Linked DNA regions of Neodiprion lecontei. The protein of the gene in region 3 interacts with the protein of the main gene of each other region in a biochemical or structural test. Links are inferred from orthologs where the notes say so. Each region holds a gene or a part of one and is shown on either strand. Other genes may lie near its edges. The genes, in order: kelch-like protein diablo, peflin and cullin-3-A.

Region 1 (9,375 bases), on a different chromosome or scaffold from region 3:
TTTACCGCCGCATTGATGCTGTTTGAGTTATCAAGGCAAAAAAAAAAAAAAAATAGAAAAAAAAACGAAACAGAAAAAGGAAATCGATCTTTGTAATATGGTTTCAACGTAATTGGTTTTAATTTTATTTCGACCTGCAGGTTCACAGCGCGACTGAATTGTTGAATAATAAACGAGAATGACGATAATAATTCATTGTTATACGGTATAAATATTTTTATTTCTGGTCTTCTTTTTTTTTTTTTTGTAAGTCTTATTTGTCGAAAAAACAAAAATTTAATCCATTCCTTCAATTTTGTGCGTATTTCGCACAATTAATGAAAAAAAAACCCTACAATTGAAGATATCCATCGTTAATTTTGATTCTCATATTGTACGATTTTTTAGTTCATTATATTGATGTTTTTAGTTTCCGGAAAGGTAAAGTTATATTGGGCGAAATCGCATTATATTTATTTATGAATAAATACTTTTTTATCCACCCTGTAATCGTTTAACACAAAAGGAAAAACACCTCTTGCCATTGTCCGAATTGCCCACGTATTGAATATTTCTGAAACTTTTAACATTGAAGCTAATTTCTGACCATCCTTCATTCAAAGATCAAATCTATCTGCAAATTTACCGTGTAGCATTTTTTTGTAATCTCCCAAAACACTGAAAAAATTTCATTTGTTACAGTAACTATGAAAATTCAGTAAAACAGGTATCGTTAAAAAAATTGTTTGAATATTGTTGGAATTACGAAAAACGAGATACGCGTAACCATTTTGCGCTATCGTCGATCCTTTTTTGCTAATTGCAACGCAAAATCAGTTTGTTCGGTTTACTATACTTTTTTAGTTAAATAAGGCTTTAACATTAATTTATTGTTGCACAAGCATTGAATTTTCGCAACAGCTGCAACAAAATATAGTAACGGATACTAGAGTTTCCGGCTAGAAAACTAATTTTCATTTTCTACCTAGAACTATATTTTTCGATTGTGGTAAAAAATTAAAATGGTCAAGGACTGAGCGGTAACCGGAACTGAAAATTTCTCTAAGTGAAGAAACTTGTGATTATTACTTATGCCGACACTGAATTCTTGTGTAAAGTATCTCGAGCGATATTTTCCCATGTTTCTGCAAGTAGCACAACGTTTTCTGAAAGAACTAAACACCTTTTACAAATCATTTGTTTATGACAATTGCAGGACAGACGGTGAAATCGATTTTCAACTAAATACCCAATCACGAAGAATTCTTATTCGTACAAGGATCGTACAAAATATAGTAAAACTATAAATACTGTAACTCCTGCAGACACTTATTCACGATATCGAATACGAAAATAATCAAATACTTTGAAAAAACACATCACCGACAATGAGTTTATAATTAAACTTAAACTCCGCTACGGGACAAGACAATTCTTCGATAATTCTTATTTTTAAAGCTGAACAGGCGAGATTAAATTGCATGCGAAGTGGAAATCGGTCATTTCTGATTGCTCCACCCGGACCGGGAGGCACCGATCAATTTTCCTGAATCGGGAAGTCGCGTCGCTCCATCAAAGGGGCGCATAGCTGTTGCCACTTTACCGTGAACCGAGAAATTGTCCGATCTGTCACTCTCGCACCAAGCACCGATTAAGGGGTGGAGCTTTTCTACGCGGTTAAAATAAAAAAATAAGGAATTCGTGCACCTTGATCTTCGGCATCATCGGATCGTCTCATTCTGTTCTTATTGATCTAATTATCGAATTTGTTCCAATGTTGTACGCAGTTTAATTTGCCGAACTCGAGAATTGGGTAGGAATTATTTCTAAACTAGTCAACGGTACCTGAGCATTTTTTCATCAGCTCCGAAGGCTGCTGCTGCTGAGAAACGATTTTACAGGACAGCCTATGCCGTGAACTAAAACGTGGATCATTAGGTTAATTATCCAAGTCTGATAGGCGATCGCCAATTATTTCATCGCGTATAATAATATTGCGTCCAAGAGTTTACATATTTCATCTAATAACCGTCAATTACTTGACATTAGCCCATAGGCTTGGCTTTTCTTTCTTTTCACCTTTTCTACTTCTCTAATTTCTCTACGTCTCTTTGTGTTAATGCGCGTGTGGGTAAAAGACATGAATTGTTTCGTATTTAAAAGGTTTTCGCCTCATTGTCAGTCTACGACTGCTGCAGCCGTTCGACTTTCAAGTGGACAAAAGCGGCGTTTCGTGACAGATGAAAAATGACTATGAGCTTTTTAATAAGTGCCTCTACTCTGTCTTGGCTCGTTCCGTTGACATTAATTGCCCCGGCACGGCGCGCTGTGAGTGAGATCGCATCGCGTTGAAACTCGCATTACAGAACTCCGCGGAATCAAAAAGCTACTCCGCCTATACAACTGCCAACGCTAATTATAACCCGACTTCCTGGATTAATAATTAATGGTGTATAGATTGGTGTAAAGCAAATAAAGATATTTTTCTTTTGTCAAAGGTAAAAACCCGCGCACATCTTTCAAATGTCTCAGCCCCGCAGCCGCTATTTTATTTTCGTCTTTGTGTTTACTAAAAAAATACTTTTCAAACGGTTATACGCTGTGAATAATATGAAATTAGTTCAATCAAATTGTGGCTTTTCAGTTTCCTGTACACTATTATTTTGAACACTATATTTTTTCGATACTATAAAAAGATTGCTTGAAATTTTACCGCATTTTCGTAGAAAAATTGACCGTATTTCTGTATTTTGAATTGGTTTTCTAGCAAGTCAAAAGATGAAGCAAGTTTTTTTTCAGTCTCCCGAAGATGGAGTTAGTTTTATAGATAACCGCGTTTCGTCGTTCTTTCACCGTGAGTTGAAGAGTGGTTAAAAACTCGTACGACACAATTGAAAAAAGTATAAATTACGAATGATTGAATATACCGCTAACCAAGAAGACCTTCAAGTTTATTCGTAACAATGTGACGGTGAGTTTGATGCTAATTATTAATGAATAAGAGAGCCGTTCGGGACGCGTTGAGTGGCACGATAGCTGTACCTAGACGTGGCCGTAAATGTAGATCCATCTACAAAGTTTTCTGTTTTCCGTGTCAGCGGTTAGACGGGGGTGGTAAAAGTGTAAGGGAGAGACAGCCAGGTCGAGGCTTACCAAGGCCTCTGATCTAACATAAACATTTGTCAGTGCCCCGGACACCGCGTGGTTGATAACGTCTCATGTACGTTATGAAACATTAAACCGGCGAGTTCCTCGCGGTAATGATGCCCCCGGAGACAGTCCACTTCAGCAATTACATCTTTATCGTTGGTAGGACGAAGCAGCTCGCAGTGTCACCCGACTGATCAAACAATTTTTAATTTTCAGCCGTCAAGTCGGCAGCAGCGTCCATTGAGATGGGTCTGTATGTGCGTATGATACATTAACGCTGGTGTGAGTGGTCGGAAAATATGTATTACGCTATTATGCTATTATGATATTGCGTCGTCGTATATACGGCATTACGCGATCAATCCAACGCGCGATCTTTCGTTTTTCATTTTTCATTTTCAACCCTCGGGAGATTTAGGGGAGCCCGTAGAGGATCTGGGAGTGGAGCGATTGGAACGTGTTTTACGCGCGTGCAGCGACGACGCTCTGGGTGTTTAATTATTCAATGAAAGCCTTTTTAATTATCCTGCCGTTATACCAATTCTAACCCTTCCAATTTTATCGCTCATCATCGGTAAAGCAGGGCGACGCGTGTCGACGTGGAAAAGTCAGTGTTACGCCTACGAAGTAAAGTTATTCTTTGTTCCTAACGTCGGGGTGCTCGAAAATGCACCGAGTGAAATTTTTAGTTCCGTTTACCGCTCAATTCTTAACTATTTTCATTTTTTACCACAATAGAAAAATATAGTTCTAGGTAGAAAATGAAAATTAGTTTTCTAGCTGTTACCGGAAAGTCTGGTATCCGTTACTATTCTTTCTCATTACGATCACTGTTACCATATTTTCTTGCAACTGATGCGAAAATTTAATGCTTGTGCAACGATAAATTGACGTTAAAGCCTTGTTTAACTAAAAAAGTAGAGTAAACCTCACAAACTGATTTTGCGTTGCAATTATTACCAAAAAAGGATCTACAATAGCGCAAAATGGTTACGCGTATTTCGTTTTTCGTAATTCCAACAATATTCATATAATTTTTATAGTTACTGTAACAAATGAAATTTTTCTCAGTGTATAATTGTACTGTTAGACGTGTACTCTTTTGCTAAAGGGCCAGCCCAACATATGAATAAATGAATAGTGGCACACGTATTTATCAATTTACATTTCATTTTACAAAAATGCCAAAAACTTCAAACGTCGCCGCAAAGAAGAAAAAAGTAAGGAACAGTATCAAATCACCATTCGCTAGGTGTTTATTTATTGTAACGCATACTTTTGAGAGATGTAATGGTGTAAATACCATACTACTATTTCTAGTAACACTGTCTAATCAAACTATCAAATTACCGCACTTTGAAATCGAACAATTCAACTATCACGTATCCATCAATTATCTTTTCACCGTTGTCCCGATCATCATCTCACTAAGAGTCATCTGCTTTCATAATGAATAATAACTTTTCCATCGTCATGTAATCTTAATAAAATTTCATCATCATTAAATAGAGATTCATCATAGATCATAATTTTTCATTAAATATATAAAGGAATATAAACTCACCTGACACCCATAGTAACAACCAACAGCACATGTCACTTATGTTTCTAGCAGCTTCTGCACGTCATGACTTCAGAATTATTGTCCACTATATTGTTATATATGAAAGAAATTTTATTGGAACAACACGAAAAGAAATGCATTATATTAAAAATAAACTCAGCAATAAAATTAATCTGTCAATTATTGTTCCGCTTATTTATGCAAGATTGTTAGACACGAAAGAAGTTTACCCGAGCAATATGAATTATATTAACGAAATAAACACAAAACAATATGCTCAAAATCTGTAACATCTTAATTATCACTCGGCCTGAATATGTTAATTATTGCTCCGCTTTGTCGTTAAACGTTCAAGCTCGTACTTTTCGCTAGACGTTCATGCCCGTACTGATCACTAATTCGCTTTTCACGCGTTCGGTTTCTCAGGTCATCCAAACCATAAACATAAGGTGACACACACACATCGTACACAATAACAAAGATACAAACACACACACTCGACTTCACAACATCTAAAGTGACCTTTACAATACATCTATTATTATTTTATTATTATTAAGAGAAGATTCGACTAATTCTTCTCTGATTTAGAACGGCAGTTTTCGATCGGAGATAGAAACAATCAAGATGCGAAAACAAATAACTGTCGCGCGGCCAACTTCACGTCGCCGCGTCGGCGGTCCTATCAAAATCAGAATAAGATGTCATCTGCCAAAGAGAAACGATTAATCGCAATTAATTATCGCAACAACAATGCACACATTCAAAGTTATCTTTAACAATTTACTTACGATCATTTTATTATTATTGAGAGAAAATTCAAGAAATTCTTCTCCGTTATAGAATGATAATTTTTCATCAGATATAGACACAATTAAGGTCCAAAAACAAACAACCATCGCGCGACCAACTGCACGTCACCGCGTTGCCGGTTTACTTGAAATCAGAATAAAGTGTCATGTACGAAGTTAAGTACGAAGAAAAACAATTAATCGCAATTACTTATGGCAGGCAGGATCGATTTAAAACTCATGTAATTCTTCCACCATGCTCATAGGGTAATCCAAGCCACTGTCGGTAATTCTCTTTAGTCGGTAAGGTGCTGCTCCGCGTCGATATAGGGTTTTTTATTAAAAACCCGAGGTGACCTTAGTTTTCCGAATAGTACGCCTTGCTTCTGAGCGGTGACGCTAAGAGGGGAAAACGTTACGTTAGATTACGGAATTTGAAGTTAGACGAATAATGGAAGAGTAGAAAGAAGCCGGTGGGTTATGTTGTGTTAATTGTCTTCGAAACCCGCTGTACTCTTCCGTTCGCAAGTTTACCCATATTTGTAATAAAACAATACTACAGAATGGAGCTAACCGAAGAAAACCTTTTAACGCTAAGTGTGTATCTCAAGGAAACACTCGACCCTGACGTCAACGTCAGGCGACCCGGTGAGCATAACCTCACTAAATCAAATATAACGTGTTCTCAAATTCTACCAGTTGAAGTACGTTTAGTCAGAGTAATTCACATTTTCCTTCCTTCGTTCTTCCGAATTTATTTATTTACACGACTTTTATTTTCTTTCTTACGCAGCTGAAAAATTTCTGGAATCGGTCGAAGTGAACCAAAATTATCCCTTGCTACTGCTTCATCTGATCGACAAGGCTGAAGTTGATCTGGTCATCAGGATCACCGGCGCTGTCACATTTAAAAATTATATCAAACGGAACTGGAAAATCGTACGTGTATCTAACATTTTATCGCAGTCGTTTGCTTTGTGAATACTGGCGAGACATTAAAACACATCTCATTCCAGTTTGCTCCCTTCAAACCCTATATTTTTCTCTTCCGTTATCCAGTTGTAGAGGTTTCTGAAACTGATACATAACTAATAATGTTTACAGGTCATGCTATGCAATGGAGTTACTCAGTTTATCTCAGGTTGGCGTTCCTCTTTGAATCAGAAATCTTTGATAACAGGCTCTTAAAAGTCTCGATACTGACATGAATTTACATTTTTGGCATTCACTTTGCTTCTTGAAAGCCAGTAGCTTTTTATTTTTTAAAAATATCAAGAAATTTCTGGGTCTTTCCAACACTATCGATGAAAATATACTGTTATTCAACTTCGATAGCAATTGATTTTAATTAGGCTCGATATTTTAGGTTTGAGTGAAGATATCTCTCTTGTCAAAATTGTGTCATATGATATATTCCGAGACAATGAAAAATTTGAATTTGAGTTGGAGTCGAATAGTGTCTAGCATACTTTAAAAGTGAAATGCTTTTTTGAAAATCCCACTCTTTGGTTCGTTTCTAAGTTACTTGAATGATCTGCATTTTTTTAAACTCAAACTGAAACTGCAGTGACTTGCGATTGCAAATATTTATTTTGAACCTGAAGTCAATACGGTGCAAAAGTAATAAAGTAACGTGTATCTAGTAAAGTTCTACAAATGTTTTAGGGTTTTTACTTTCTTGGAATATTGAGAATCATTAAATTTTTTTTTTATCATCTGCAAAGATTTATATCCTTGTCTATCTAAACCTTGTAAATCAAAACTGAAAGTTTAATCATGATTGTTATGCGATACTAAATTTGTAGTCCATGATTGTGTACCCCAATGTGAATTTTTGTATTTTGAAAGGAGGTTGTCACTTCTTGTTGCTAAAGAATAACTGTAACCTTTTGGATAAAAATAGGGCGTTTTCTTGCAATTTAACGATGAAAAAAGTGTCATTAATTTTAAATTGTATGATTGTCTTTTTTTCCTCTACAATCAATAAAGGATGAAGATACCGGAGATCGCATACATATGCAAGATCGCCTAGCTGTGAAGCGATTGATAATGAACTTGATGCTTCACTCGCCAGAGTCAATCCAGAAACAGTTATCGGATGCTGTTTCCATCATTGGTAGACACGATTTCCCTGAGAAATGGCCAGAGCTCATAGATCAGATGGTTGAAAAGTTTAATACCGGTGACTTCCATGTTATAAACGGTGTTCTTCACACCGCTCACTCTCTATTCAAGAGATATAGATACGAATTCAAGAGCCAGAGCCTTTGGACTGAGATCAAATTAGTACTCGACCAATTCGCCAAACCCTTGACCGATCTTTTTTTGGTAAGGACCTTGTTTCCATTATTCTGTGTAATAGTGATAGGCTGCTTTCTTATATTCAGCTAGAAAAAAGTATACCGATAAAGTAAAAATTTGCTCCTTACATATGTAATATTAATGAATTCGTTGCAAAATCACATTGGATGAATTAAGAGAATCAGAAAGTTCATGTACCTGAATTAATTGAATAGTTAAAACTCTTACTAATATCCACTTTATTCTTGATAGGCAACCATGAATCTTGCTCAAGTACATGCAAACAACATTGAAGCCTTGAAAATTATATACAACTCCCTGGTCATTCTGTGCAAAGTATTTTATTCCTTGAATTTTCAGGTAAGTAACGAGTTAACAATGTGCCTAAATAGGTAAATTAATGAATGGTCATGTATTAGTAATTACTTGAAGTGAATTCAATCAAATGTATGTATTTCGGTACAAAAGATACTTTCTACTTTGCCTAGGACTTGCCTGAATACTTTGAGGACAACATGAATGCTTGGATGACCAACTTCCACATTCTGCTTACTGTAGATGTTCCAGCGTTGAAAACAGCGGTAATTAACCTTTGCTGTATAATGTGTGGCACTAATCCTTGGGACAATTCCTTTACTCTGTTGTCATAATAACAACAACAACAACAATAATAATAATAATAATAATAATTTTCGATTTGTAACGTTTGGAAAACATTTTTGTTTTACTGACAGGATGACGAGGAGGCTGGAGTAATTGAACAGTTGAAATCTCAGGTGTGCGACAATGTCGGTCTATATGCCCAGAAATACGACGAAGAATTCCAGCCGTTCTTGCCCCAATTTGTTACCGCAATTTGGAATCTCCTTACGTCGACTGGACAACAACCAAAATTCGATTCGGTAAAGAATTTTTATTTTTTTGTTTATTGAATTATGATTTCTATGCTACGTATACTAAGCATAATTTTGAAAGAAATGAACGAGACATTGCAATTTCTCATTTTCGCAGCTGGTATCTAACGCTCTGCAATTTTTGGCCACAGTCGCCGATCGAGCACAGTACAGGTATTTGTTTGAGAATCCGACAACTTTAGGAAGTATATGTGAAAAAGTGATCATACCAAACATGGAGTTTAGAGGTTTGTTATTCAGTGGTCAAAGAAAAGTAATGATAAAAAGTGCTCGTCGTAAATTTTTCCTTCATGTATTTGCAGAATCCGACCATGAATTATTTGAGGATAATCCAGAAGAATACATAAGACGTGATATTGAGGGCAGTGACGTTGACACGAGGCGACGCGCTGCCTGCGACCTCGTGAAAGTTTTATCAAAATATTTTGAGGCAAAAATTATGGAGATTTTCGGATCCTACATCCAGGTAAAATAATCTTAAATAAACAGCAACCGTTATCATGTGACTAATTAATTAAACTTGATCTGGCATTTCAGTTAATGCTGCAAAATTATGCTGAAAAACCAACAGAAAATTGGCGTAGCAAGGATGCGGCTCTGTACTTGGTCACGAGTAGTGCTAGCAAGGGTCAAACCCAAAAGCATGGAGTAACCCAGAGTAGTGATTTGGTATCGC
Region 2 (10,125 bases), on a different chromosome or scaffold from region 3:
TTATTGTAGTGTTATATTCGTAGCTGTACCTGTTATTCTATATTATATACTGTCCTAAATTTTAAACACACGGCACAACAATGGCTGAAAGCACAATGGCAAGAAGAGAGGAGCAATTTGTGTCTTAATCAATCTTCTCTTCTTTATACGTAGCACAGCGATGTCACGTCGGAGGATATGTACTAGTGGATCACTAGGTGGGGCACAGAACTGAAACATAATTATGTTAAAAATCTTCAACATCTCTTACAGAAGGTAGGTACGTCGCCACACCTTATATACCAACAATGAATATTCATAGAGGCTATATTCATAAATACTTACAAAAGTAAGCTAATATTTTACCCGCAATTGCTTATTACTGATAACTTGATATGATAATATCCCCTTCCCACCCCTCCCCTCCCCTCACACGACCCACCCCGCCCTACCTACTTCTGCTCCTACTCCTACTCCTACTACGACGACTACTCCTATTCCTACTCCGACTACTCCTACTCCTAATCCCACTCCAACTCCTATTTCTACATCTTCCCCTGATCCTACTCCTGATGCTGATTCTACTTCATCAAATATTGTAAAAATGTTAAACTCACCGAGCACGAATCCTCGTCCTCCACCTCGTCCAGCTCGACCACCTCCAACCACCGCCAACCACCCCCGACGACCACTGCTAACCACTTCGGGTTATAACTGGAATAGTAATAAATATTTTCAGTACAAGAACACATCAAAAGTATTATGTAAGGATTAATATAATTAAATAATCTATTAATACGTAATAAATTTCATGAGCTACTAAATATGTGCTTGCACAAAAAATGAATTGAAATAATTCACTGTGTACATGACAAGTTTGAAATATTTTAGATGAAATATAATTACAATTGCCATCAGATATTATAAAAATGTTTTACTCACCGAGCATAAATCCTCATCCTCCTCCACCACCTTCTTCTCCACGTCTTCCTCGTCCTCCTTCTTGTCCACCTCAGACCACCTCGAACACCCACCGATAACGACCTCGGGTTATACATGGAATAGTAATAAATATTTTCAGTATTAGAACACATCAAAAATATTATGTAACGAATAATATCATTTTTTTATGGACAGATTTTACCAAGAAGATTATGAGAAAATTAGAAAAAATTATAGAAATTTTAGTAGCACGATGATAGCTACTGAATTACGACTTGGGCGAAATATGAATTGAAATAATTTATTGTAAACATAACAAGTTCAAAAATTTTGGATAGAATAAAATCACAATTGCCATTGAATAGTAGAAAAATGTTATACTCACCGTGCAGAAATCCTTGTTCTCTTCGTCCACCTTGTTCTCCTCGTCTTCCTTGTCCTCCGAGAGTCGAGTTTCATCAGGTAGCGGACCTGGAGCGCTGGAACCATGGAGCGCTTTTCCTGAAATTCAAGCTTCACCAGGTAGCGGACCTGGAGCGTAGAAACTACGGAGCACTTGTCCCTGAAGTCGAGTTGCACCAGGTAGCTGGAATAAATTCTTTCATGCACTATTTCGATGTAATTTTGCGAGAGAAATCGATTGGGCGAAGTTCCAATAGGCCGCGATCAACAGATCAAAAGTTGCAGCCAATAAACGAGAACCTGTGTTTTCGACATTTTTCAGCAGGTGCTTTTTTCTTCGTATTTTCTCTCCTGTTGATCCGACGCTCTTTTTGGTGCGTTTTCTGCAATCATGGGGGTTCAATAAGCTCAGGAAAGAGTCATACAAATCGAATCTGAGACAATAGATTTTTTGACCAAAATCGTAAAAAAAAAGGAAGGCTCATCCCTTCGCACTTTTAGCGAAAATTTTCGCGATTCTGAAGTGCTGGAATAAATTATTTGGTACACTATACCGACGTAATTTTGCGAGCGGAATCGATTGGGCGTAGTCCCAATACGCTACGATGAACGGATCAAAAGTTACAGCTACAAAACAGAAGATTTCCATCGTACCTCTCCTGCTGTTGATCCCACGCTCTTTTTTATACATTTTCCTAGTTTCTGAGGGTCCAATTACTCAGGAAAGGGTCATACAAATAGAATCTGAGACGAAAAATTTTCAGCTCTGCACATGAAGGAAAAAATGAGGCTAATCTCTTTGCAGTTTGGACGAAAATTTTCGCGATTTTGAAAAGTACAGCAGCAGCGCGTTAAAAGTTAAGCTCTAAAAATGGAAACTTTCGTTTGTATCTCCTTAGCTTCTAGCTTAGGGTAGGGTAGGGTAGGGCGTAGGGTAGGATACGGTAGTGTAGGGTAGTGTAGGGTAGAGTAGGGCGTAGGGTAGGGTAGGGTAGGGTAGGGTAGGGTCGGGCGTAGGGTAGGGTAGGTTACGGTATGGTAGGGTAGGGTAAGGTTGGGTTGGGTTGGGTTGGGTTCCTTCCCCTACTCCAACTCCTACTACTCTTAATCCTCCTACTCCTACTAAAATGTTAAACTCACCGAGCACAAATCCTCGTCCTCTTTCTCGTCCACCGCCGACCACCTCCAACCACCGCCAACCATCTCCTACAACCACCGACAACCACTTCGGGTTGTACCTTGAATAGTAATAAATATTTCCAGTATAAGGACACATCAAAAATATTTTGTAAGGATTACTATAATTAATTAATCAATTAATAATATAATAAATTTTATCAGCGCATTTATAGCTACTGAAGTTGTGCTTGCGCGAAAAATGAATCGAAATCATTTATTACAAACATGACAAGTGTGAAAAATTTTAGATGAAATAAAAAATTTCAGATGAAATATAATTGCAATTGCCATTAAATATCATTAAAATATTAAACTCACCAAGCACAAATCCTCGTCCTCCTCGTAAACCTTGTTCTCCTCGTCTTCCGCGTCCTCCTCCTCGTCCACCTCCGACCACCAACAACCACCGCTAATCACCTCGGGTTGTACTTCGCATACTTATAAATGAGTGCTTGTCCCGGAAGTCAAGTATTATCAGGCAATGGATCCTGAACGCAGAAACCACGGAGCGCTTGTTGCTGAAGTCGAGTTTCACCAGGTAGCGGACTTGGAGCACAAAAACTACGGAGCTCTTGTCCTGGAAGTCAAGTTTCACCAGCTAGCGGACCTGGAGCACAGAAACTACGGAGTGCTTGTCCTGGGCGTCGAGTCGCACCAGGAAGCGGACCCGGAGCGCAGCATCCAGGAGTTAGAGAACCCGGTACTCGAAATTTGCGGAGCGTGATTCTCATACGTCCGCTCTACTGCGTGGTTGTTTCCAGACTGAGGAATTCGGCCAACTGATTTTCGTCTATACAGATCAAGAGAGAAAAAATTTTGGGTGACGTCACTTTCTGAACATCCGAACATCCAAAATTTGGTTTCGAACTTTAATACTATGTATGTATGATGTATGATGGTATGATGTATGATGATTTTAGTTTTCACATTTCAGACAAGAAATGCGCACCTTATATTTCCTGCCGGTTCCAGACTCAAGCGGCTAGGCCTTTCGATGGTCAGCCGTTGACTGAAGATATATTCTTCAGTTAATAGGTTAGCTAATAACGCTGCCGTTCTGCGACAGTTCGATGATAACAATTTTTGCTCACACCTTTCAAGTGTGTGATGAAGTAGACTCGTTTTCTCTCTCCCTATCAAAAAAAAAAAATCGTCCACAATCACCTTTTTAGCCTTTTAAAAATTAGTACTTGGTAAGTAAGACAATGGTAATAATTGATACTCTCATCAAATAAATTGATATTGTATTGCATTGTTCATAGGAGTAAAACTTATAAAATTTATTTATTACAAAAACCGATTGTTAAGAAAAATAATCTAGTCGGTCGATTAATAGAGTTTAAAAAATAATAGACTGTACTCGATTAATCAAGTTCGAAAAATAATCGACTGTTCTTGCTTAATCGGGCAAAAATAATCGAATTAATTGCAAATCGATTATTTTTGACCAATGCCCAGATTTTCAGATGGTCTGGATTTTTTATATGTTGTAGATCTTGGCATTATGAACAAGTCTCCATGAGTATGACCTTCCGCTATGAACAGTTTGGGAGCTAGAAAAATACTCATCCTATACCCAGTATTCCTTTGTGCAAGAAAATCGACCAAAAAATATTATTATTTCTTATTTATAAAATTTAGGCCCGTAACCGGACATGACTACTTGAAGTCTATGGACTCGTCCCCTTCTTCAACCACAATTGAAATCGGCCACCCGCCGTAGACTCTTTAATTTTGTTTTCTGCTCGGTGATAAGCACACGATCGGTAGTGCAAAGGGTTGCACATCCAATCCCGTGCGTCGTAAAATTCCTACGGATATCGAACATGTCAGAATGTATGTAAATCTTTGAACAGTAATGTTCATTAATGCCTCCCTTTTCTGGCTAACTTGTTTGCGGTCCGAAACAAAATGCGAATTTTATTTTATACGGATTGTGTAACAGTGACTGGCAATGCAGCTGACGCGAGAAAATCACTGACCTTTCGAGAAAGTGGTTGTATTGGTATACATACCTATACATAATTCGTATTAGAACTCGCATTTTGTTTCGGACCGAAAATAAGGTAGCCGAAAAGAGAAGGCATAAGTCCGTGGCATTTATAAACATTACTAAATACATGCATACCTGGGTAAAATATTCACCTACGATCACATAGAATTTATCTGCATAGTCGTAAATTTGTGTAATGAATGCGCGTATTGTGTCCATTGTTTTATATAGCCTAGGGACTCTATCTGGTCCTAGTGCTTGCCGCGTATGGCAGCAAAGAATGCATAACTGTGTGGTCTTGTCATTCATTCGTCGCGTCGAGTTCGCCTTTCTCTTCACCTCCATGAACTACTCGTGGTTTAGATGCCGTATTGCGTAATTTACGTCAGAGGAGTACTTCATCACTGATATATATATATACTCCTTTCCTGTTTTCATTCCGCAAGTAGCTGTGAGTGTACGCGATCGCGTTATATTTCAACCAATTATGGCTTATTCGGTAAGCTATTTTGTTTGTAAAAATAATAAAACTTCTGTTAGATTTACATTGACGTATTAAGTAATCACTTCACTTGAACACACTTATTGTTTTTCTTCACATTGTTCAGTGTTCATAGTTCATGATATTTTAGTTACAATTGTACGCTTCGTTACTCATAATTCATATCCGCTTGAGGTTGAGGTTGAACAATTTGACTTTTGTATTTTGGGTTAAATCAAGCTTTGGTGTGTTATCTTGGTGAACACTGATATACAGTATAATGCATTCATAATATTTATAATTTTAACTATGTACATATTTCATTTTGATCACGACAATGTTGCTGATATACTATAACATCATGGTGTTGAAGTTCCAATAATAAACAACGTACCTGTAGTTTGAATCGATCAAGCTTGATTGTAAGGAGTTCCGCTACTATACTGATAGTTTAGTGCCGCTTTAAGCCAAAGTTTTGCTATTTTTGATCACTAAATAGCTGACCAAGGTACTTATTTTGTAACCTCAAGGTGCGTATTTTGCAGTTTCTGGGTAGTCAACAACGCTAAAACAACAGTTTACGTTAGGCTGAATCAGACAGGCATGCTGCTTCACCATCGCTACAATCCATTAGTTTTAGCATTGTTTGCTGTGTTGGGACTGTAAAGTTACAGAATAAGTAACCACATTTTCTTCACCTCTTGGAAACTTATATTTGGAAAAAAACATCACGCAATATTGTTATATGAATCTTGTTGATGAAAATAGCCAAAGTTTTGTCCCATATTAAGTGGTTTTAGTTTTAATCTTGAGGCAAAGTATCTGTTTGTGATTGTATTTTAAATATGCAATTGAATTGAGGTATGAATATAAGTTCGACTTTCATTGTAACCTCACATTTGACAGTAAATTCAAACTTCGCATCTCAAATGTAAAGATTTTATGAAAGTTGGTAGGTTTGTAATTTTGTTGTCTGCCTCAACTGGGCAATTGATTCTTGTATTTTTTATATTTAGATTTCATTTCGATCATCAAATTTTGTTCATGGTTCTAAGCATTTCATCAGCCTCATACATATGACAATACTGACAAAGAAAACAATTAAAGCAGGGTGCTACTTTCGGTTCAACGCAAGGTCATATCCAGGTCAGTCCGGAGATTCAAAAATGGTTCGCAACACTTGATCGAGATCACAGTGGTCGGATAACAGCTACTGAATTAAAGAGTGCCTTAGCAAATGGACAAGGGAGCACTTTTTCTGACACAGCTTGCAAGCTGATGATTGGTATGTCCGTAAATATAATTATTTTCTCCTAATTACAGATACCAATAGATTTATATTGAAACCACGACCCTTCGAAACTCCTTTTTCTCAATACTTCCTACTTATGGGTACAATTATCGCTTGGTGAAAGATTAATTTCTTTCTAGAAAAAAAAAGAACTAATTCAATTGTGATAAGATTGGAAAAATAAATATTGGCTCAAGAGTTAGATAGGTCGTGATACGGCGTATTAAGGACATCCCACTCAGACAGTAAACCTGTAAAAAAGAATTACATATGAACAGAAACAATGATTCAATTTTACATAAAAAATTTACGAAAATATCACCAAATGTGAAGTTGAATATTTCATTAGCATAATCTTATCCGTGACAGAGCATGCGAAATTCAGTAACTGAAATTTACATTCTTATTTTAGACATTTACCTTGTTATTGATATTTTTATTTGATTTTGATAGGAATGTTCGACAAGGAAAAGAAGGGTACGATAGATATTCAAGAATTCCAAGCCTTATTTAACTATGTTAATGCATGGCTCGGTGTATTTCGAGGTTTCGACCATGACAACTCTGGAAGCATTCAGGAGAGTGAGCTATCAGCTGCTCTAACGCAGATGGGTTATAGATTTAGCCCTGAGTTTATAAAATTCCTTATACAGAAGAGTGATTTTAATCAACACCAATCCATCAGTATTGATCAGTTCATTGTTTTATGTGTACAAATTCAAAGGTTTACAGGTAACGTTTATCATTTCTGCATAAAATAAATTTTATTTGATTAATTGTAAGACAGACATTGTCAAAATATTTTATCCAGTATTCCTGATAAAAGCCATATTATAGTAAATCTTTTCATAATTTCTTATCATATTTCAGAGGCATTCAGGCAAAGAGATGCTCAACAGAGTGGCACAATATCGATCGCCTTTGAAGATTTCTTGAGCGTGGCTCTCAACTGCAGTGTTTGAGAATTTTTGAATCCAATACTAATTGCAAATAATATTTCTCATTGCATTTGCACATTAACCTGTATATTGTTCTACGTGACCAACACATTACCCGAATTCTATCTATTCGACAGATGAAAATTTTCCAAAACCAGGCAGTTTGCTGCGCTGGAAAAACAAGCTTATTCATTCAAAATAAATGTAAATAACACTTTGTTAACGATAAAACGTCGTAAGCTAATTTTTTGGCATTCCAAATGATTACAAAACGTGTTTGACTGCAACTATTTCAACTAACTTATCGAAATTTTCCAAGGTCGAGCGACCATTTCTGAGATTCAAGGATCACTAATCAGCTCTGACTTGAGAACTATGAAGTATGGTGTATGGCATCCAGTACAATGCTTCGCTTAGCTAAGTAGAAAGAAGAAGAAGAGAGCTTTGCGATATTCCACACGCAATTGTTTGATAATCAGTCAACAAACTCTTAGCATAGTCGGTATATATGTCTATATCTCCATGCTTGATCCTAGCTCTCCATATCTGATTAGGCTGGGAGGGACGGATCTACTGTGCGTATGCACGGACCGTGCTGAAAAGCGGATCAATTCCTTCAAATTGGCCATTCTGAATTGCATGTTTCTCAACTTCTAAGTCGTTGGCTTATTCGAATTAGCTATATTAATTATTTTTTGTAAGAAGATGAGAGAAAAATACTCTATAATTTCGTATTTCTAATATTAAGGATGTTATAAACAAAACTGGTATTATCCGCAATAGTAACTGTAGCGACTCATTCGTTTCCTGAGAACAATGATGCATAATCATAACATGTGACAGTGATATGTGATCGTCTATGTATTTGTTTATACCTATGAATAAATACATTTTCACAAAGAAGCTTAGTACTACCTTATTACATCTGAAATCTATTGGTCATATTAGTTTCATAATGTGTGCTCTCTGTGTTTGCTAGAATTTATATTGCAGGTATCTTCCCCCGAAATTTTCAGAAACTGTAACTGGTTTCTTTTTGTCATAGAAGAAAAACTTTGTTTTATGTTTGGGGTTTTCGTAGTATTAATTTCTGAACATGTAGAGTCTAGGAATAAAAATTCAGAAGTGATACTTAACTTCTACATTTAGGTAGGTACTGGCTCGCCTATCAATGCTAAACTGTACTTTCTATGTGAAAAAGACTTTTAGTCCGTAAAATTTATAATATATGGATCAATGAATGAACAATTGAGTGGATTCGTAATTGCGTTTTATCAGTGATAGTTCTGACGAGCAGTCGTCGAACTCACGGGTTGAATTAGACCTTGAACTAAACAGTATCGTCTTTTAGGCGTAATTACACATAGCATATTTGTTCGTATCTTTATGTCTTGTCACTTTAATTCTATTCGTCACCTTGTTGAGCTGCTACACACAGGTATTAAAACACTTGCGCTAGCATTAAGGCATATTTAATAAACTGTACTAGATTGGGTCTGAAACTGTGTCTATGACTATTCAATTTTTTTACTTACCTCTATGAAAATTTTGTGCATTTTCATGTGTTTCGGACGTAACTTTAACACTGGTTAATTGATACCGTCAAATCCTTTGTGGCTTCAATAAAAAATAATTCGCATCAAACAATATAATTTTTTCGCCACCCGCAAAGAAATATTTTGTTGAATTGATTATACCCCTTTGTACCCATAATTCTCATTATCTTGTACCACACTGGTATAAATCACTCGTTACCGCTGAACCCACCGGAGAATATTGTAGAAAATGATGACTCTGATTCGGTTTGTAGGATTCTGAATTAACCGCCGTTTCGCATACACAGTAAGTTGTAGGTTTGTAGAAATCGTTGGCGCAGAAGCCCGTCAGCAGCTTATTCACAGGTGATGATATTCTCTTTTTCTAAATGAGCTTAACTACCCGATGCAGTTTATGATGCACAAATCGGCAAGAAAACTCATTTCATAAATGCTACTTTATCTTTCAAATAAGCAAGTGCTATTTTCTTCATCACTTCTACTCGATCTACAATATCAGTCGTGATCGGCAAAGACTTACAGTTTATTTAATTAAAGTAATGAAAACGTTGGATGGCATAAAATACTATAGTCCTTCAAATAACTTTCGTGGTCCTTCATGCAATCAGAATTAGTCCATGACCAATCAGAGAGCGTGAGACTCAGTGGGTGTGAAAAAGCTGAAAGTAAAAAATACAAAATCGATGCTGGTAAGAATTTGCAACCGAGTAATTTTACTGGGATCATATGAAGCCAATCCCCACATTGTAATATGAAACCGGACTCATTTGGTCCTTATGTGATCTAATCATTACTAAAAATATCATATAAAAAACTTCCGTGATTTATATCTTTGTTTGTCGTAGATTTCATGTATTGAACTCAGTTAAAAATAAATACTACTGTACTGTTGCAACTTTTTACGAAATATAAAATATACGTTGTACCATCTGTGCACGTTATATATACCAAAGCAAAAGTGAGGGAGTCATGTTTAGTGACTAAATTATTTAAAATATGGAATATAGTATTTTTAATAAGTCAATATCAATCAACCAGCTTAATTGAAGTTTCTGATTTCAGGCGTCCCAAATCAAGTTTACCTCGTTATATTTACGACTATTCTACTCGGTACATTGCTTTATTTTCTCTCTTTTTCAAACTGCTAAAAAACAGACATGTCTTGCTCGTGCATTCTTCAAGCATCACGGGCAATCAATTCCACAGTGGGAACGGTCCGTAAATACTCCCGATTTGACCGTGGTTGTACTTAACGCCGTAACTTGACAATAATTCTGAAATAGTAGTATTAGCAACTACCAAGACTTGTACCATCAAATCAGTTAACCTTCAGGTGTAATGGGATTAATGGTTTTGATAGGAGC
Region 3 (12,297 bases):
CAACTCCCGTTAAAAGAATGGCGCGTGTCAGCAATACTGTTAACGTCTAGAATTCGCTATCAATTTTATGTAGGGGTGGCATCAATTGACCCGTCAATGACAATAAACCGTTGGTTTATTGTACTCTTCGGACCCGGGGAGCGCGTCCAAAGGTCCCTGGGGTACACAACTTTCCGCGAGAGATAACACATCTCGGGAACCCGGTCGACGGGACCAGTGACGGTGCAACTCTAGGATCGTTCGATACGCGGTACGCAACCCGTTCCGTACACGTACTCATCCTATCCCCTAGTCGTATAATCCGGTAATAATAACAATAACAGGCGCCATGTTCCGTTCCTTGACTCGCCTGTTAGGACCGAGTGCCGCCGTGGACAGTGCGGCTCGATTACTTCGCTGCAGTACGTCGTCCGTCGCTCTGCTCGACCGAAACTCCTCATTCGACGCATCGCGCAGACGAAACCTTACGTGGACGACACAGACATCGAAAAACTTCAGCTCCACGTCAATCGCTATGGCTAAGATCAAGGTATCTATGAATGTACATATCTCACCCTGATCCATCACGCTCCCCCGAGGCGTCGCCCTGTTAGCCGATTCATCTTCCTGCAGTTTAAAAAACATTCGAGTCTCATACGGCCGGTCGCGATCGTCGCGTATCCGTTTTAAACAGTTTCTATACTAATGCCGCGACTGAGAGAAGGCACTTCAAATCACGAGACACTTGCGATTCACCTTTCGGGGAACTTTATTGTTCGCAGCGTTCGTGTTCCGAAGTATTCCGTATTTATTGCATGATTAGAACCCCGTTCCAAACCACCTTGGATGATAGTGCACATTATGGTGCACAGTGCAGAGGTCGATCCCCTCTCCTCCCCCCCACATTTAGTCGACCCATCGTTTGCCGTGGAATGTCGATGGTTTCACTTAAATAGAAAACAAGCTCGAGGTCGAGTGAAAGCTAATAAGTTTCGAATGATAAGGTTCCTACTACAATGTGGATATCACAGCGATCATTATCTCACGCGATATAAGCCGTAATAATCAATTGATTGATAGTTTGATTATTTCTCGGAATTTCCGTTCATGATTAGATTGTACAATGAAATTGTTGTAAATAAGATGTTCAGCAGTTTCTTATGAAAATACTTAAAGAAACAGCATTTTTCCAACAGGCTGGACCCGTCGTTGACATTCTTGGAGATGAGATGACTCGTATCATCTGGGACTCTATCAAGAACAAATTGATACTCCCGTTCCTGGATATTGAGTTGCACATTTATGATCTGGGTATGGAGAACCGGGACGCAACTAATGACCAGGTGACGGTGGACTGCGCGGAGGCTGTAAAGAAATATAACGTGGGCATAAAGTGTGCGACGATAACTCCGGACGAAAATCGAGTCAAGGAGTTCAAGTTGAAACAGATGTGGAAGAGCCCCAACGGCACTATCAGGAATATACTGGGCGGCACTGTCTTCAGGGAAGCTATAATCTGCAAGAATATTCCGCGGCTGGTGACTGGTTGGAATCAACCCATTATTATCGGCCGTCACGCCCATGCTGACCAGTACAAGGCCACAGACTTTGTGGTACCAGGTGCCGGTAAACTGGAAATCACCTGGACAGGTGAGTCAGGCGACAAAATCCAGCACACTGTCTACCAGTTCAAGGGGGCTGGCATCGCTCAGGCCCAGTTCAACACCGACGAGAGCATCCGTGACTTTGCCCACAGCTCTTTCCAGTATGCTTTGGCTCGGACCTACCCGCTCTATCTTTCGACCAAGAACACCATCCTGAAAAAATATGATGGCAGATTTAAGGACATTTTCCAGGAGATTTACGAGGCTGAGTACCGTTCCAAGTTCGAAGCAAAGAATATCTGGTACGAGCATCGGCTCATTGACGACATGGTTGCCTACGCTATGAAATCCGAGGGTGGCTTTGTCTGGGCTTGCAAGAACTACGACGGAGACGTTCAGTCAGATTCCGTTGCTCAAGGTTATGGCTCTCTAGGCCTGATGACCTCTGTGCTTCTCTGCCCTGATGGCAAGACGGTCGAGGCTGAGGCTGCGCATGGAACAGTCACTCGGCATTACCGCCAATATCAACTGGGTAAAGAGACATCGACCAATCCGATTGCCTCGATCTTTGCTTGGACAAGGGGCCTACTACACCGTGCTAAGCTGGACAACAACAACCAGTTGAAGAAATTCGCAGAGACTCTGGAGAAAGTTTGCATTGATACGATCGAGGCTGGAAGTATGACTAAAGATTTGGCAATCTGCATCAAGGGCATGAACAATGTCAAAAGGTCAGACTATCTTGAGACGTTCGAGTTTATGGACAAGCTCGCTGACAATTTAAAGAAGGAACTGGCCAAGGCGTGACTGCAAACATACATGTTCCCAGATATCCGGAGGTCGAAGCTTTGAGCCCAGGAAAGGGCTGCTGCTTCATTTATTCCAGAATCTATTGCCAATTTTTTCAGTTTAAACCTTCGAGGGGTGTTTATTGGATGAGGAAAATAGTTTTTTTTTTTTTTTTTTTTAGACAATACATGCGTTAATAGCACAACACTCAAGTATTCTTAAGTATGAAAATGCCATTGTTATTACAGGAACCTTTAGCCTGTGAAATATTTTTGTAAACCTATAAGTCAAATGAACGATTTTCGTCTGGTTTTCAATGTATAAACAAAAGGTTTTATAAATATGTTTTACAATGATTTTACCATTTGATTGCCTCATTTACAGGAACTGTGAAAACCTGCATGTGCGAATATTGTTGGATTATCTATAGTCTCGTATTCCTTCGAAATAGCTGTGGACTGATATGAAACCTTGCTCTACAGCTACACTGTATTCAAATTATATAACTTCAAGACTTCCTGAGTAGCCATGGTCAAAGATCAAGTTGGATACTTGAATTGCGTATACTTTACGTAACTCCACAACTTGAATGTTGGCATAAAACGCAATTCTTTTCCACCTATATCTAAATTATCGGTAACCGGTTACTTGCTAGTTCATTGTAATGAAAGATTGATTTCAACAAATTGGTGATCGATGAGTGAGCCTTAAATGCGCCGAAAATACAGCGTTCGTTTGAGCACTGAAAAAAATTATGAAGCATTTACTTCCGAACTATCGGCTTTGGACGAATAGTTTCGAAGGGCTAATAGAAAGTCATTGTATTACAAGACCAGTGTAGTGCATCATGATAATTCCTAGGAAATTGCGTCACCGAGAGCGAGAGGTATTGCAGTATCAAAAACCCTCCTAGCCATCTAACTATCCGAACAGAAGGCTTCTAGACAGCTGTATTGGAATTTTCTCACCATGGATGCTATAGAGCTGTAGTATCGGCAGTCAGTGATGAAATGCAGCTTTATCGTTTAATGGAATTGGATAATTCATCCAGTGCGATATACCGCGGTATACATCTATGCTTGGTAAACGCGTATTTTATTATAGTTTTAGGTTACGTTACGTTCAAAAAAACCTCTTTGCCATCTAACTATCGGAACAAAGGGCTCCTAGTCAGCTGTACGGGAACTTCTTTACCATGGGGGTTGGAGGCATGTAGTTCCGGTAGTCGGTAATGAAATGCAGCCTAATTATTCAACGGAATAGGATTATTCGCCAAGTGCGATATTTTGTGTATACAATTATGCGTGGTAATCGCGTATTTTGTTACAGTTTTATGTTACGTTCCATTACATCGTGATAAAAATGTGTATTTATAGTACCGCGTGAATCGAACGCAGCCCACAGCGCTCGATTAGTTATTCGCGCTCCGTGCTCGCTTCATCGCCTTCTCCTCCTCCTCCGGCAGCCCGTCGTCATCGTCGCGGAATAATTAGGAAAATAGATCGTCTGATACACACGGTTGAAATTCGGTATGCCTCGATCTGTGGGAATATGTGCGTCATTCCATTGAAGTGAGATTAATTAAGGCGGAGGTAAAAAGGAAAGAAAAGCACAAAGAGAACTAACGAGGAAGAGACGAGCTTGTTAAAGACCGACGACGTGAGGCAGACGCGTTTAAATAACCCTATAAAATAAATTCTGTGTTTTGGTGGCGCGACTCCATTTTATACCTACCACTACCCACCACACAGTCCCGCGATAACGGGTAATTTCAGATGCCTTGTTTTCCTGTAAATAACCGACATTGACTGGTCGCTCGGTCCCCGTTGTTTCTCACCGTCGAGCGAGCGTCGATATTATTCCTCGAACCCACCATTGCGAAATACACGTCGCCCCCGCGCCCGCCCCTGGCCTCGATGCGTGAATGACACCGTTAAAGCTTTGTAAATGTGCGTACGGAGATCGAGATTTTCGCTGACTCGATTTTATAGTGTTGGTAGTAATAATACCGAAGTGTCAAGCTGAACGAAGACCCTTGAGGAGATTTTTTACTACTGAAAATGATGAAGAGCGGTGCGACCCACAAGAGAGAAAAAATGCGGATACGCGCGTTTCCGGTAAGAAGATTTCTCACGTATCTTATTTCCCTCATCGACGAATATGCATGCCCATTTGATTAAAAGGAGGAAAAACTCGCTGCTCCTCGCCTCGCCTCGCCTCGCCTTTCGACTCGGGCAGTTTTCATATTGTCACGATCTCACGATCCTCGAGGCTCGACGCTCGGGTCCGTCGGATTTCACGCACTGTCATTTAAATGGAAATATGTCCACCCGTCATCCTCCCCACCTCCTCTTTCCCGACCCCTTTAACCTAGCTCACATCGACTAAAACCATATAACAATATAATATATTTGATCAGCTTTCACTTTCGGCCCCTTTGTATATTGTATCAAGATAGCCAAACCACAGCAGCCTACGAAAGGTGCACTGGTTTGGTGAACGAACCTAATGTGTTTTTTTCCCCATTCTCACCCCCCCCCCCCCCCCCCCCAAATTCAAGACAGTTGCCTTAGCAGTCATAAAGACAATGGAAAGGAGTATGCCTTTCACTTTTTTTTCCCTACAAATCCAAAAACGAAATTTTTCACCCCGACAAACGCTACTTTCGCCAAATTTTCAAGTCCAAAGTCTTACAAATCACTGAAACTATCAATAGGCTGATAGATTGCCTGTTCAAAGGACTAGGCCTGGATGTAGAAACTCCAATTTAGTGACAGCAGTAATCACGTCTTTGCTGATGCTATATTGACAAGTCAAGGTTAATTTTGAGCGTTCTTGATATGGCGACTATGCCGATCGACACATAAAACAATAGGTTAAAGAAAGTGATTGAGCGGTCACCACACAGAGAAGGATTGGATAAAAATCCAACCATGGAACGTGGTCAGTTAGAAAAACCAACTTCACAAATTATGTGTGGAGCACTCAGTGAAATAGCTACTATCTCAGGGCTGTTTCGATCAGGGAATCCGAGCTCCCTTGTGATCGTCGACACCCTTGTGAGGGACACTGCCTATTAGTTTGCCAAATCAGCGTTGATTTTTTATTCTCACACCTAGATGCTCTGTTTTTAGATGACCATGGACGAAAAATATGTGGAGAGTATTTGGGCACTGTTGAAGAACGCCATACAAGAAATACAAAAGAAAAACAACTCCGGCCTGAGTTTTGAGGAGCTGTACCGAAATGCATACACCATGGTCCTTCACAAGCATGGCGAGCGTTTGTACACCGGGTTGAAAGAAGTTGTTACGCAGCACCTGGAGTCGAAAGTTCGGGAAGACGTGCTACGCTCCCTTCACAACAATTTTCTCCAGACACTGAATCAGGCTTGGAACGATCATCAGACCTCTATGGTTATGATCAGGGATATACTAATGTACATGGATAGGGTTTATGTGCAACAGCATGATGTTGACAACGTCTACAACTTGGGCCTAATCATATTCAGGGATCAGGTAACACATCGATTGAAACCGTTGCTTTCGCTACATCTGTACAAATCCTTTTTGACGAATCGTTATTTATTTCAGGTAGTCAGGTACGGCTGCGTGAGGGATCATCTACGCGAGACACTCCTGGGCATGGTAGCGAGAGAGAGAAGGGGGGAGGTCGTTGATCGAATCGCGATAAAGAATGCATGTCAAATGCTAATGCTGCTCGGTATAAACTGTCGCCAAGTTTACGAAGAGGATTTCGAGAGGCCTTTCTTACAACAGAGCGCTGAATTTTACAGGGCAAGTTTTACTTTTATTTTCACAAAACCATATCAATTGTCCTATTAATTTTCAATCAATCGTGTTTAACGAATATTCAACAGATGGAGTCGCAAAAGTTCCTTGGCGAGAACAGCGCCTCAGTCTACATAAAGAAAGTTGAAGCTAGAATTCTTGAAGAGTCAGAACGGGCGAAGCACTATCTGGACGAATCCACAGAGCCAAGGATAGTCAAAGTGGTGGAAGAAGAGTTGATTAAAATACACATGAGAACCATCGTTGAGGTGAGGACAAAATTTAGCAGTAAACTTCATGTATATCAAATCTTTGTTACGTGTTACAGAATTGCTCTAAAGTCTTGTAAACTTTGAAATAATTCAAATGAATGCTGTTGCAGATGGAAAACAGTGGTGTGGTGCATATGTTGAAGAACCAGAAAACTGAAGACCTTGGTTGCATGTACAAATTATTCGCGAGAGTAACAGACGGATTGCGCACTGTATCAGATTGTGTGTCGCAATTCCTCAGAGAGCAAGGACGCGCCTTGGTCCAAGAAGAGCATGAGCCAACCACAAACGCAATACACTTTGTGCAAAATCTGCTGGACTTGAAAGATCGTTTCGACCATTTCCTGCACCACTCGTTTAACAATGATAAACTATTCAAGCAAATGATCGCGTCGGATTTTGAACACTTTCTGAATCTAAATTCAAAGAGCCCTGAGTATCTTTCTCTCTTTATCGATGACAAATTAAAAAAAGGTGTAAAGGGGGTAAGTTGAATGCGGCTTGGCATGAAGATCCTTTCGTGCAGGTTTTAACTGAAATGTTACTTTCTACAGATGACAGAGCAGGAGATCGAAGGCGTGCTTGACAAGACAATGGTTCTCTTCAGGTTCCTGCAAGAGAAGGATGTCTTTGAGCGATACTATAAACAGCATTTAGCCAAGCGGTTGCTTCTGAATAAGTCCGTCTCCGATGACAGTGAAAAGAATATGATCTCAAAGCTAAAGGTACATGATCCATAATTGCGTCTTACAAACGCGCTCGTAGATGCGCTGACACCTAGTTTCATTCGGCATACTTTGGCAAACTGAGGCTAGAGTAAATTGTCCCATTGGATAGTGTGAAAATTTTAAATGGCATAGTTCTGGCAGACACAGGGCGCGTTCAACGTGGACGTGGACATCTTGATCGCAATGAAAAAGCTGAACGCTGAGCCACCCAAAGATTCCCAGGAGTCGTTCTTCCTTCAAAGGTCGAAGGGCTAGTGCACAAAGAGAAACTAGACTAGAGTATGTCCGTCCACCCTGTGTCCCGATCCCATTGTAGGATCAAGTAAGTGTCCGCTTTGTAAACCATGCTGAAAACCATGCTTCGAGCTGAGCAACCAACCGTCAAACCTTCCAACAATTTAATCATCCTTCGGTTCAGGCTCGTATGCGAGTATTATTCGTCAAAGTATTGGATCAAATTCAGACACGGCGCGTGTCTCGGGCATGCTTTACGAAGCTCTGATTTTCTTAGCCGATTAAACACTATATTGCAATTGGTGTGATAGACAATTTGGCAGAGGGAGTGGCAAAGACACATGCCTTGGAGTTCTGCATGGTTTAATAAAGCTAGCACTTTACTTATAAAAGACGTACGAATGTAGAAACCTTTCGTCAACTACTGCAGGACTTCAGGGCAGGTCAAAACCTCGATTCAAAACAGTTACCGCAGACTCTGACACTGTATATACGTACCTATATAATAACTCATAACTGTGCAATTTTTTAGACTGAATGCGGTTGCCAGTTTACATCAAAGCTGGAAGGAATGTTCAAGGATATGACGGTCAGCAATACTATAATGGAAGAGTTCAAGGAACACGTATTAACGTCTGGCGTAAGTTACAAACGTGTTGAAAAAAATCCTTCATTCTCACATCAAATCTGAAATGATCAAACTGACGTGGAACTGCTCAGGCATAATTATTTCTGGATAATTGTTTATCAAATTTCACAGACAAGTCTACACGGCGTTGATCTGAGCGTGAGGGTTCTGACAACAGGATTTTGGCCAACACAGTCAGCAACACCGAATTGCAGTGTGCCCTCAGCGCCAAGAGAAGCGTTTGATGCTTTTCGATGTTTCTACTTGGCCAAGCATAGCGGTCGTCAACTGACGTTACAACCACAATTGGGTAATTACTAGTCATCTTTGTTGAATCGAGTTCAAGCAGAATTGGCAAATTAATGGTTCATTGTTGACCGTGTGCACAGGTTCGGCTGACCTTAATGCGGTTTTCCATGGGCCTCGGAAGGAAGACAGTAATGGCGGAAGCGTGGACGTTCCCTCGTCCTCTACCACATTGGGCAACGGAAGTGGCAGTCTTTTAAGTCAGCGGGGAAGCAGCAGTGGAAATCCCCGCAAACATATTATCCAAGTATCGACGTACCAGATGTGCGTACTCATGCTCTTCAACAACAGAGATCGACTCACTTACGAGGTTTGTTACATTCCCATGATTTTAGTTGGTAAAAAGATAAATGATCTCTACTGATGCCAGCGTTTATTAATATCGCAGGAAATTCAGAATGAAACTGACATCCCTGAGCGAGATTTAGTCCGAGCATTACAATCTCTGGCAATGGGGAAGGCGACTCAGCGAGTTCTCCTCAAGCATCCCAAAACTAAAGAAATTGAGCCAACACACTGCTTCAGTGTCAATGATAGTTTCACCAGTAAGCTTCATCGGTAAGTTTTGAGATTGACATTATATCTTTGATCGTTTCTGCCTTATATCGGGTCTGTCCAACTTCTAGAGTAAAAATCCAGACGGTTGCGGCGAAAGGAGAGTCCGAGCCTGAGAGAAGAGAGACGAGGAACAAGGTTGACGAAGATCGAAAGCATGAAATAGAAGCGGCGATCGTGCGAATTATGAAGGCACGCAAACGCATGACAGTACGTATTCGTCTGTCGATCGCTTCATAAAATGTATGAATCTCGATCGTATTCGTTATCTCATACTTTGTTTCAATCTAATTAGCACAACATTCTCGTGACGGAAGTCACGGAGCAGCTTCGAGTACGATTCCTGCCCTCACCTGTCATCATCAAGAAACGCATCGAAGGGCTGATAGAACGTGATTATCTGGCCCGCACGGAAGACAGGTGAATAACACAGTTCTTTTTGTTTTTACCGTTCTTATATTTCCCACATGACTCAAACAAAACTTCGGTTCATCCCTACATTCACTATTTGTTACAGGAAAGTCTACACTTACGTGGCTTGAACACTGCCCCAAGCATCCCCAAGTTTGTACAATTGCGTAAGTGGCCACCCCAACATATTAGGCACGGTATTCACAATCTCGTATTAGTATCAAGCCTGCGCGTATTTAATTATTCGGATATTTCCTCGGCAATCGTTGTTATTATATTATCCTTCCCCCTTATCATAGAGATTTAAAAAGAATAAACGAAATTTTTTACATTCGATACCGAGTTGTTTCAAATATATATACTATGTACACATACGGCCGTCGGCAAGGGTAACTGCGTAGAGAACGCACGACGTGTACTTCATGAACCAAACTGGGTATTTCTGGGGAATTGTTATGCCCCAAAGAAGTTCTATAATTGCTCATCGTTGTCACATGACTGTCAACTAGTCTCGTATCAACTAATCGAACACAACTGCTTTGTGCAATACAAATTTCCTCTGCACATTCCAAGTCTTTTAAAATTAATTTGTGTTCAAAGTCTGCACGAATACTTTCTCCGTACTCTTCGTTTTATTTGTTTTGATTCGGTTTTGCTATTTTCTTTTGTTTTGTCACATGTGACAGTGATGAGTGGTTAACGGTAACGGACGTTTGTAGAGTGTAACATAAGATCTATAATAATGAAATCAAAACATTAAGATATACTTCATTTATTTATTTTTATTTTTTCCAGAATCTATCGACTCTGATATTAAGAACTCTGAGTCGAAATAAAATGAATTGATCGTATAAAATCTGTAACTAATTTGAGAAAGAAAAAACTCGCCAACGGTAAACAATATAGATTTAATTATTATAAAGAATTTAAATTATTCCAGATGCATTAATGAATTATACTTGCGTACATTTTACGTGTTATACTTCCGCCCTACCCTTGTCCCGTTTCATGTCCACTTCCTCTCTGAATAATTCCTTGTAGAATTTGGCTCTTGCAAAAACTATAAAATAATATACACAGGTATATTGTCGTGGGTAAAACAGCGACTGCCTATACCTAATTTGTTACGAACGCGACTGTAGAAATTGAGTGCGAATGTGCGTATATAATATATGCGAAAAGTTTTTTTTTGACTGGGTGTATAAGTAAGGTGTGTCTGAGTATGTATCTTCAAACTATTGTATATGATAATGAAAAAAACGTTGTATCAATAAATGGATTTAAATACAGTCAATTTTACCTATAAACATTATAATGGGTGAACCCTGATTTGGGACAAGAAATTCATACATTTTATCAGATTCACGTATGACGACAGAACAGAAAAAATACAAGAAATATGAATGCTCTCGTATTACGTTTCTATCACAAAAAATCGAACCTGTGCTTCAAAAAATGGTACAGTCAGAATCAAGTTTTCAGGTTCGTCGCGGTACAAATGCTGATCATTACGTGTACAATTAAAAATTCCTCTCAAGCAAGACCGGATTCTGCGCGCAGGGGGAATTGTGACAGATCGTGCGCGGCGTCGGCAGCGATCGGCGCGTTGTTAGTTTGCCGCCGGTGTTGGTGGCGCCAGGACTTCCAGGGATTGGACCTCCGTCGCGAGCTTGTCAGTACATGTAATAATTCACCGAACGTGGACGAGGCGTTCGTTTCATCTGTGTGCGAAAAATAATGTGCCGCTACCAGTCCGTGTTTCGACTTCTTTGAAGAGCGGTGAACAACGAGGGCTGGATGATTTCGCACCCCTGCACATTAGTGAGTACCATTGCATCCCTCTCCACTACACAGCCACCATTCGATTTACGAAAATTCATTGCCAATTCCTCTGACAAGGTCAAAAGAAGTCACGTGCAGGCATGCATTCGCGTCCCGTACGTTCCGGGAATACGTAATCGCGCCGCTGCGTAAGATAGAAAACCGCGATATCCCCACTAGGAAAAAGGCAGCGCACGCGGTTTCCTCGATATAGCGACCCTCATCCATTCGTCCAGCGGCAATTGATTCCTCTGTAGCATCATAGCGCGGTATTATACCACGATTTCCCATTTCGACGGAAGCAGTGATTCGTACTCGCGTATTCTTCCCGGTGTATTGTATCACGGCGTCGTTTCCACAGCCCCCGGGAACACGGAGGTGAGAAGAGACGTTCGTTCTGAAATACTTCCTCCTCGCCGGGGATATAAATAAGTTCGTTAATGGCCTAGGATTGCCAGTTCTTCCGGGGTGTGGTACACGAAACGCCATACAACTGTCCCTGAGCCGACGCATTCATCATGTACGTATAATGCTATATGTTCGGCCTTAGCTTCGGAATGAGCAGTTTTGTCGGAGTGTCGGGTGTTTCGCAAATTGCACGACCTGCACACACACGTTCGCTGTTGTTATTTGCGGCGAATTGGGCAACGCACCGACGAACTGCGGATCCCTCGAATCGGGTCCCCCATCGATTATTCTTACTCTCGTAGCAGTTTAGCGATTCGTCACATTATGTTGAGTTACATTTTTTTGCACAATTCACAGGGCCGGCGGTATGTGGCAATGGTATTCGTGTTGCATGCGTACCTACAGTCACATTGTGTCCGCCGCGTTTAATCATCCGATATGACATTTAAACTGTTGGCACAATCGCAAGTTCGCCCCGTGCACTATTTTCGTATAAATAGTACCGCGCAAAATAAATACACAGCTTGCAGGGGGGTACAATTGAAGAATATTAGCCATCGTGTTACGTACTAATTGCGAGTATTTTTTTTCGATTCTTCCGCCCTCTTCGAGATGAATTACGTATTGTTAATTCAAGAATATGAAGAAGTTAAATTGTCTCGTTAACGAGGCAGTAAAATCTTTTTGTTCGCTGGATTGTTTTTCGGAATAAGATGCATACCAAATGAGCTCATCACAAAGAAAACATATCACGCTGATAATTATTATGCA

What was found.
Region 1: the proteins of cullin-3-A (region 3) and kelch-like protein diablo form a complex in vitro, tested with the Homo sapiens proteins (2 studies listed by BioGRID and IntAct). The link is inferred for Neodiprion lecontei from reciprocal best matches to the Homo sapiens genes CUL3 and KLHL20.
Region 2: the proteins of cullin-3-A (region 3) and peflin form a complex in vitro, tested with the Homo sapiens proteins (2 studies listed by BioGRID). The link is inferred for Neodiprion lecontei from reciprocal best matches to the Homo sapiens genes CUL3 and PEF1.

Annotation. Positions count from the first base shown.
Region 1 is NC_060261.1:28,448,085-28,457,459, reverse strand, and holds the start of kelch-like protein diablo, read right to left. Parts: upstream 5,084-9,375; 5' UTR 4,694-5,083; intron 1-4,693. Other genes in the region: exportin-2, read left to right, coding at 6,048-6,132, 6,278-6,423, 7,474-7,812, 8,038-8,145, 8,274-8,366, 8,520-8,687, 8,797-8,926, 9,002-9,165 and 1 more. UniProt on the Homo sapiens protein: Substrate-specific adapter of a BCR (BTB-CUL3-RBX1) E3 ubiquitin-protein ligase complex involved in interferon response and anterograde Golgi to endosome transport.
Region 2 is NC_060263.1:22,832,153-22,842,277, reverse strand, and holds peflin, read left to right. Parts: upstream 1-4,850; 5' UTR 4,851-4,982; coding exon 4,983-4,994; intron 4,995-6,083; coding exon 6,084-6,261; intron 6,262-6,720; coding exon 6,721-6,999; intron 7,000-7,137; coding exon 7,138-7,229; 3' UTR 7,230-8,108; downstream 8,109-10,125. Other genes in the region: uncharacterized protein LOC124294011, read right to left, coding at 55-210, 597-693, 1,307-1,410. UniProt on the Homo sapiens protein: Calcium-binding protein that acts as an adapter that bridges unrelated proteins or stabilizes weak protein-protein complexes in response to calcium.
Region 3 is NC_060264.1:23,153,389-23,165,685, forward strand, and holds cullin-3-A, read left to right. Parts: upstream 1-5,290; 5' UTR 5,291-5,305; coding exon 5,306-5,431; intron 5,432-5,506; coding exon 5,507-5,890; intron 5,891-5,965; coding exon 5,966-6,169; intron 6,170-6,252; coding exon 6,253-6,432; intron 6,433-6,545; coding exon 6,546-6,920; intron 6,921-6,989; coding exon 6,990-7,160; intron 7,161-7,929; coding exon 7,930-8,037; intron 8,038-8,157; coding exon 8,158-8,335; intron 8,336-8,414; coding exon 8,415-8,641; intron 8,642-8,719; coding exon 8,720-8,889; intron 8,890-8,957; coding exon 8,958-9,096; intron 9,097-9,181; coding exon 9,182-9,306; intron 9,307-9,403; coding exon 9,404-9,428; 3' UTR 9,429-9,464; exon of another isoform or gene 9,465-10,092; 3' UTR 10,093-10,586; downstream 10,587-12,297. Other genes in the region: isocitrate dehydrogenase [NADP] cytoplasmic, read left to right, coding at 329-529, 1,176-2,390. UniProt on the Homo sapiens protein: Core component of multiple cullin-RING-based BCR (BTB-CUL3-RBX1) E3 ubiquitin-protein ligase complexes which mediate the ubiquitination and subsequent proteasomal degradation of target proteins.